Mus musculus: one gene and its partner. The protein of the gene in region 1 purifies or fractionates together with the protein of each later gene. This does not show direct contact. Links are inferred from orthologs where the notes say so. Each region holds a gene or a part of one and is shown on either strand. Other genes may lie near its edges.

What was found. The genes of interacting proteins can lie anywhere in the genome.
Region 2: the proteins of Dpf2 (region 1) and Actl6a purify together in Homo sapiens (affinity purification with mass spectrometry; 5 studies listed by BioGRID and IntAct, counting the BioPlex papers as one, with this or other methods). This does not show direct contact. The link is inferred for Mus musculus from reciprocal best matches to the Homo sapiens genes DPF2 and ACTL6A.

The regions. Positions count from the first base shown.
Region 1 is NC_000085.6:5,906,002-5,910,224, forward strand, and holds part of Dpf2 (zinc finger protein ubi-d4), read right to left. Parts: intron 1,161-4,223; coding exon 1,000-1,160; intron 631-999; coding exon 523-630; intron 1-522. UniProt on the Homo sapiens protein: Plays an active role in transcriptional regulation by binding modified histones H3 and H4. Is a negative regulator of myeloid differentiation of hematopoietic progenitor cells. Might also have a role in the development and maturation of lymphoid cells.
Region 2 is NC_000069.6:32,706,862-32,711,613, reverse strand, and holds the start of Actl6a (actin-like protein 6A), read right to left. Parts: upstream 3,069-4,752; 5' UTR 2,759-3,068; coding exon 2,734-2,758; intron 2,679-2,733; exon of another isoform or gene 2,272-2,678; intron 1-2,271.

The sequences.
Region 1 (4,223 bases):
AGTGCTGTACTCATAGTTTTGGGATTATAGGAAAATGTCGGCCAACTGAGCTGTTTGTTTGTTTGTTTGTTTGTTTTTCGAGACAGGGTTTCTCTGTATAGCCCCAGCTGTCCTGGAACTCACTCTGTAGACCAGGCCTGCCTCTGCCTCCCAATGCTGGGATTAAAGGCTCATCACTGCCCAGCACTACACTGATATTTTTGTATAAACTCTAGAATTTAGACCCTTGTGTTCACACACCAAGCACTAGGACACTTCTCCAGTCCATATTATTTTGAGATAATTTCATGATTTTGTTTGTTTTTTTGAGGCTCTGATGTAGCCCAGGCTGGTCTCAAACTTCCAATTAGTAGAGAATGACCTTGAATTTCTGATCCTCCTGCCCCAACCTCCTCAATGCTATTATTACATAGGAATAAACAACCATGTTCCATTTATGCAAAACTGGCTATTAAACCCAGGCCCTGTGCATGCTAAGCGAGTACTCTAAGCAACTGAGCCCTCCCACCCCCCAGCCTCTACCTGGTTTAATCGATGGGAAAGAAAGCCTGGGATCCTCAGGTGGGTGGGCTCGGCGCTTTTTCCGCCAGCGTCTGGCAGGATAGGAGTATAACTGTCCAGAGGCCAATCCTGTGGAAGAGAGGAAGGAAGAACAATTAAGCCCTAATCCAGCCCCAAAAAATGATGGCAAACATTTTGTGGATGAGAACTCTGTTGAGTTCTAGAGCAAGGGAGTGATACAGAACACGTGAGCCTGGGCCAGGTGGGGATACTTCATGGAAAAGAAAAACAGATATCAGCAGAAGTACGCAGCTGTTCTTAGTCATCGGGAGATCATAGCTGCTTCAGAGGCCAAAAACAAAGGCTGGCTGCTTCGTCCTCTCCATTCTCATCTACTGGGGTGAGCAGTGGAGGAGCCTTCAACTACCCCATCTCCTGAGGGACAACAGACACTTTCTTGTGCTCCTGTGTCACCTTTCCCAAAGCCTGAAACTTTACCTGGTCCCCGGTGTCGCTTTTCCATCCAGATATAACAATTGCTCTGGGCTACTCCAGTCTGTGAGTCCAGGAAAGGCAGGCGCACACTACGTTCAGCACAGAGGCGGGCGTTATAATTGTGGCACTGTTCCATGGCATCTTTGTAGTATTGCTCGCCAAGGCTGTAGGAAGGTAAAACAGAAGGTGGGGCCACGTCACCCTTCTTCCCTGTCAACTGCTTCTCTCAAAGGCTCAGGAGTCTAAGAGGCTCTCTTTTCTGTTATTTGCCTCCTATTCTGCCTCAAGGGACAAGAAGAACCATCACTAAGCTATCACACAAGGAAAGACAAGTTACTACGGGCTGGGCCAGAACCCCTAAATAATAATCATTGTGACACATGATTTTATCATGTGTATAATCAGACATAAGCTTTTTAAATATTTGTTTGTTCTGAGGCAAGGTCTCTTTCATTCTGCAGTTTAGGTACTGAACTCGTGTAAATCCTCCTGTCTCAGCCTGCCAAGTCAAACTTAAATCTTAATCCACACAGAGTGAAGCGTGGCCAAGGAAATAGCTGTGGTAGAGATCTTGTTCAGCCCACACAGGGCTCTGGATTCAATCTGCCACTACTGGGAGAGGGAGGGACAAGAAGAAATGAATTGCTCATTCTGTGGTTCTCATGTGTCCAACTCATGCAAGTTAGTATGTTACTCGTCTTACCCTAAGCATCTGGGCTGCAGACATTACTGTAGATAGTAACTTCCTCTGACAAATGGGGAAAACAGATCTAGAGGACTGGTCACAAGATTTTTAGCACACTATTAGTAGATTCACCCCTCAAAATGCTATTTGGTTAGTAAAAAAATGAAGCTCTTCCTAGTCACATTACCCTCACTTCAAGGCCAGCTGGGCTGCATAGCAAAACCCTGCCTCAAAACCCAAACTACGGGCGGTGGTGGCGCAAGCCTTTAATCCCAGCACTCGGGAGGCAGAGGCAGGCGGATTTCTGAGTTTGAGGCCAGCCTGGTCTACAGAGTGAGTTCCGGGACAGCCAGGGCTACATAGAGAAACCCTGTCTTGAAAAACCATTAAAAAAAAAAAAAAAAACTAGGCAGGGTTGGTGGCACACCTGTAATCCTAGCACTTGGGAGGTAGAAGCAATTAAGTCATCCTCAGCTAGATAGCAAGTCCAAGGACAGCCTGAACTACATGAGACTAAAAAAAAAAAAAACAAACAAAGAAACAAACAAACAAAAACAACAACAAATTATCATTGAGTTGGGCCTGGTGGTGCACGCCTTCAACGCCAGCACTCGGGAAGCAGAAGCAGGATCTCTGGCTTTGAGACCAATCTCATCTACAGATCGAATCCAGGACAACCAACACTAAAGAGACCCTGTCTCAAAACCAACCAACCAACACCAACCAACCAAACCAAAAACATAACAAAAACACTTGTTCTTGAGGAGGGCCTGTCTGGGTTTGGTTCCCAGAATCCATATAGTGGTTCACAACTATCCATCAACTCCAGGTACAGGGATCTAATTCCTTCTTCTGACCTCTGTGGGCACCAGGCATACATGTGGCACACATACATACAGGCAAAACATTCATACAAATGGATAAAATTTAAAAGCTCTTCAAGTACAAACGATCCAAAGGTGATTAGGGGGAAAAGAAAGGCAGGCACAGTACTAAGGGGTGTCATGGGATAGGACCACTCATGTATCCACAAGGTAATGTAATGCTCCAGGAAGAGAAATTCCCCAAGTTCCTCAAAGCTTTTACTAAGCACTAATACTAACAGAAAGTCTGTTACACTAAAGCCCATCTCAGGCTCTTCCTGTCACACAACTGACACCCAAAATTTTCTGGTCCTGGAGGAGGTAATCTGAAATCTGAGAGGGATTTTCTAAGTACTTTAAGAAAAGACGGCCAGGCGGTGGTGGCGCACGCCTTTAATCCCAGCACTTGGGAGGCAGAGGCAGGCAGATTTCTGAGTTCGAGGCCAGCCTGGTCTACAAAGTGAGTTCCAGGACAGCCAGGACTATACAGAGAAACCCTGTCTCGAAAAAAACCAAAAAAAAAAAAAAAGAAAAGACAAGAAACTGTAGAGCTAAGGGTTTTGTGGTTCAATGACCCCCACCTTGTTTTGGTACAAAAGAGTAAGCTTTAAGTCTGTAAGGACTCATAGTTATAATCAATCAATCAATCAATCAATCAATCTTTTTGTTATTCTGGGGCCCATATGCAGAGCCTCCCAAATGCTACATGTATTCTACCACTGAACTATATCCCAGTCAAATATTCAATCTTTTTTTTTTTTTTTTTTAAAGATTTATTTATTATTATATGTAAGTACACTGTAGCTGTCCTCAGAGACACCAGAAGAGGGAGTCAGATCTTGTTACGGATGGTTATGAGCCACCATGTGGTTGCTGGGATTTGAACTTTGGACCTTCGGAAGAGCAGTCGGGTGCTCTTACCCACTGAGCCATCTCACCAGCCCTCTTTTTCTTTTTTTGAGACAAGGTTTCTCTGTATAGCCCTGGCTGTCCTGGAACTCACTTTGTAGACCAGGCTGGCCTCGAACTAAAAAATCTGCCTGCCTCTGCCTCCCGAGTGCTGGGATTAAAGGCGTGCACCACCACGCCCGGCTCAATCTTTCTTAGATAGAGGCTTGTGTAGCTCATACTGGACTCAAACCCCACAGGCAGTCAACAATAACCTTGAATTTTTGATCTTCCTGACTATCTCCCCAACTACCACAAGCACTACCACATGCAGTTTTAGGGTGCTGGCTAATCAAACCAGGATCTCTTATATGCTAAACAAGCACTCTACCAACTGAGCCACATTCCTAGCCTCAAAAAGCACACACTGAGGGCAGAAAGGACTTCTTACCCATAGCATCCCGTTTACCCATAAGGTGTCTAGATCGCATCAGGGTGGATTTGGGAGTGAAAAGCCTGGCTTGGCTCTAACCACCACATGGACACAGCCATGTAACTAAGTAACCTGTATGAACCTCCATTCCTCTCCCATAGATTGGAGCAGTTAGACTAGATGAGCTCTGACCTACCAGGATTCTGATGAAGAGAATAGGGATAAGAATGCATGAAAAGCAGGAAGGAGTAAGGTCTCAGTGTCTAATGCTATTACTAAAGCTGTATCAACAAGCCCTAATGTAGACTCTGATGGGGACTTTCACTGAGCAGTCACAAGAGACCACTGCACAGCTTAG
Region 2 (4,752 bases), on another chromosome or scaffold:
TCTAGTGTTTACCATTGTTGTTTCAAGACAGGGTGTCTCTGTGATCTTACGTGTCACAGAACTCACAAAGATCCTGTCTCTGACTCTCAAGTGGATTAAAACTATGCACCACCATGTCTGGCATGAACCTAGTATTAAATGCACCTTCAAGATGTATTTAATTAAAATATGGCAAGTCATACTGTTTTATCAATGGAGGTTTAATCAGGAAAGCCATGGTACACTGACAGCAGGTAGTAGTTTCCTTACTAAAGGAACTAATTATAAACTTCTATAGTCCAGGTACAGAAGGATGAACAAAGGACTGCCCTCATAATCCTTAAACTGAGGAAACAAGAAGAAACTGTTCCCAGAACCTAGAAGGTTTCTGCTGAGAGCTGTGGTAACAGCTGAATGATGCAGAGCTAAGCTGCCTATTCAGGGAGGGAGGGCCAAGCTCAGATTGCAATCCCAGGAAGACTCTATAATGCAGCATCCAAATTGGGGCATTTTAACTTGGGTGGGGAACACCAGCTTTTAACGATTATACTAAAACAAAAAGCACAGGCAAAAAGTATAGTTACCCTACCATCACCAAATCAAAGTTCAAAGCTGAAACCAGAGGCTGAGAAAGCCCAGAGGCCATCTCTACAGGCACAAGATGTGTATAAATGACAGCAAGGGAATCTGGTGGCACAAAACAAATCAAACAAACAAACAAAGGAAAGAAAAATAAAAACCACCGAATACATCCTAGTACAATTTCATCAATTATGGGGAATTATGTTTTGTTTCATGAAATGAAGAAACACAGCAAAATATGAAAACTGCACAGCATGGAAATTAGAGTGTAATTTATACAGGCCAAGTAAAAAGCATTTAATGAACGTATCATTTAAGTTACACATTCCAGACTTTAGGAGACAGTTTAGTGGTAAGAAAAAAGCTGGCAATCTTTTTCAGTCTAATTTAGAGAAAAGCCTCCATGTATATTTTCCAAATACTTCACCCCAAACAGCAGGCCTCCTAGGATAATGCACTTGGGTTTCTCAGTACTGGTTTTTCAATGGGGTCCCCCTCAAAATTTAAAACACTAATCCTACTTACCTACATTACTCAAATGCTAAGGCCTTAAAAGTTCTTCTGTTTCTCTAGTTAAAGCCAATCTATGCCCAATCTACCCAGTTTGGTGCTAGTTACAAAGAGGCACCCAAAGAGAATCACAGAGCTATTTAGTTTAGACATACCCAGTTTGGAGAAATTCCTAGTTTAAAAGGAGATGCATATGCAACTGTTTGAATGAAAATGTCTCCTATAGACGCTGATATTTAAACATCTGGGCCCCAGTTGGTGGTGCTGTTTATGGAGGTTTAGAAGATGTGGGCCTTGATGTAGGAAGCTGTCACTGGGGGACAGGCTTTGAGTTTAAAGCCCCCACTATTTCCAGCTGCTTCATGCTTGAGGTTGGACACGTGAGCCCAGATTCCTGCCCCACCATCATGCCTGCTGTTAGCTGCCATACCTCTCTCAAACTGGACTCTTACCTCTCTGGAATCATAAGCTAAAGTAAACTCTTTCTTCTAGAAGCTGATTTTGTTTTTTTGTTTCTTGGTTTTTTTTTTTTTTTTAATCACAGCAACTGAAAAATGACTAATACACTATGTGAGATGGGTAATTTACTAACTTCTCTGCTACAGTTTAATCCGAAAAATGTATTTAATACTTACCTCATAGGATAGGATGACTAAATGCCTTGAATGTTTTAATGTATAAAGCACTTACAGTGCTGACAAACAATAAGCCGATAAATATTAGCTAACGGTAATTATTACTGTCACACTTCTTGCCAGGGAAAAGACTACCGTTCCTAGAGAAACTACTATAGTTTATTCTCAGAAAACCCTACACAGCAGTTAAAATGAGTGGGCACAGATCTACTGACTCAATGCAGATATAGATTTGTTAGTGTGAGGATACTATTTAACTCTTGATGGGTGCGTGTTACCTGTACACGGCAGAGAAAGGAATACCCCTGCCTCATCCCAGAAGCAATTTGCTCCCAATTTACAACGAGTCTTTAAACTTTGAGCTGGTTGTTTAACTCTTGCCAATATTTTTTTCTTCGTTAACGTGAGGGATGGCAGCACCATCTCCTGTCAACATCCCCCCTAGAGGAGAGTCTCTAACTAGGTAACTACTCTTAAACAAAACAGTACTTAGAAGCCTTGTTTTCGTTATCGCCGATCTAGAAAAGGCTCCCGCCCAGCCGGACAGGAGAACTGCAGCCTGTACCTCAGGGATCCGCTCATCTGGGGACCGAGCACGCCTGGAACGATGTCCAGGCTGTAGTGGCTGCTGAAGGACCCAGAGCAGCAGCCGCAACACCGGGCGCCACTCGCACCCAGTGCCAACCCCGGGGGCCCGGAACCTCCGCGAGCTGCCCGGGACCAACGCGCGGCGGAACCGGTACAGTGAGGGACCCGGCGTGCCAGGGACTGCCATCAGAGCCCAGCCGGTAAGACGCGCCAAGGCCCTTCCTTGAGGCCATCTCGGAGCAGCGACGGGACAAGCCGGAAACCTATTGCGCGCCGGCCCGGGTCCGAAGAGAAGGAGAGGCCGTGGCCCATACGGGGACCGGAAGCACCGTCCAAAGACCGGAAGGGCCCGCCGAGGACCGGAGGGAAACGGAAGCGACTAGGGACCAGGCCGGTCGTTCCGGTCCGCACGCCCCGAGGCGCCGCTGCGCTCACTCACCTCCGCCGTACACGCCGCCGCTCATGGCTACTGTCTGGCGGGGACTGGCCGAAGACTACCGGACGAAAGATAACAGCGGCGTGACTCCTCTCCCTGAGAACGCCGGCCCCGCAAGCCTGCAACTTCCAACGCCGCCCCCTCCGGCAACAAAGCAGCGGCCGCACGCCCGCTGCACAGCCACTCTTGCTGGTTTCTCGTATCAACCAATGACAAAGGGTCCGGCTTAGTCATTAGCCAATCAGAGTGTGGCGCTGCTGCATCCCCGCGCGGTTTAGCCGTCTTAGCCAATGGAAGGCATCCGTAGGGGCAGGGAGAGGGAGAAGCGACAGAAGAAGGGAAGGTGTTGGGGTACGGGCAGGAGGGGGCGGAGCTTCGCGGGCGGGTGAGGTGGGTGGAGCTTCGCGAGCGGCCGGTAGGGTGGACCGAGCTTCCAGGAGCAAGGCGGGGGGAGTGGGTGGAGCTGTGCTTCGCGCGCGAATAGAGTAGGAGGAGTCTTAGGTGGGCGGGCGAGTGGGAGGGGCTTGGTGCAGGAGTGGGCCGGGTTTCGAGAGTGAGTTAATTAGGTACTGGGAATTAAGAGGCTTGCCTCAGGCCATCAACCGCTCTGGTTCTAAAGGATGGCTGCTCCCCAGGAGCCAAAGGAACTTGAGTGCAAGGAATCTGGAACTTGAGTTAGTTACCTGGGAGAGATCCCTGGCCTTTGATTGTGATGAATTCGGAATTTTTTTTTTTTTAAGCAGAAATACTTCAACTAACATTTATACTTGAAAAAGAAATGTGCACTTCACTTTGAATTAATCAGCAAATCAGATATAATAATAGGATCCATCATTTTAAACAATGGCTATTTATATTAAAAGACAGTACATTTTTCCAGCTAGATTTAGATAGCATTTAAAAATCATGACTTCAGTTTCTTTCATTTCTGTGAAAATCATTCACCAAGCAAGTGGAGCACTATTCAAGGAAGCACCCATTTGTAAATACCTCCCCAATCCGTGTCTACTGTTCTTAGTCTACATCTCTATCAGTGTCGCCCAGAACACTGTCTTTTCTTACCCCAAATTACTGCAACAATTTGTCCCTCTGCTTCTCTAGGCCTTAGATAGCCTGATCTATATAACCAAAGGCCCAAACCAGTCCTGCCATTCCAAAGCTCAAGTGTAATGTAGCTCTGTACCTGGTAGCAGTGCTTAAATTGAAGTGTCTAGGGTCTAGCTACATAGTGGCTACTTGTAACCTTAGGTGGGTTGAATAAACTCTCATCCATTTCCCTGCCATTAAGGTGGCAGGAATTGACCTGTCTGTCATAGGTTCAGGAATAACGCTAGTAAGAAAATGCTCTCCCGTTCACTTGACACTGTGTGCTGTGAGCTGACAGTGATGGTTTGGATTTGGGTTTTTTGAGAGAAAGTCTCACTGTGTAGGCCAGGCTAGTCTCCAAGTTGTAATCCTCCTGCCTCTGCCTCCTTGTACTGGAATTATAGGCACATGCCACCGTGTGTGTATTACTACATTTTAAATGATTCAAAAACAGTTTTAAGAATACTATGATACTCCCATGTCAGAAACCTTGTGCTGTGTTTTACTGGAGCATAGCCAAGCTTATTCACAGCTGTGCCTGAGGTGATGTGTCTGGTTAAGATGTAGAGCACATTACTGCCAAGTGACCTGTGGGAGGGGTTGCTTACTTCTCAATGTATGCAACACCTAACACAGCCTGCCTCAGTGCTGTGTACTGTGGTCCCCATGATCAGTGCTCACTGCCGATCAGCACCCCAAAACAATTCTATTTCCAGTCATGTTTTCATGTTTGACTAAATAAAACTGATAGGTTATTATGGACTGTGGTTCCAAGCCAGGCATTGTGGCACACAGTTTTAATCCCAGAATTCAAGAGGCAGAGGCAGGTGGATTTCTGTGAGTTTGAAATTAGCCTGGTCTACATAGTGAGTTCCAGGCCAGTAAGGGATGCATACTGGCTACATAGCAAGACCCTGCCTCAAATAGATATATACA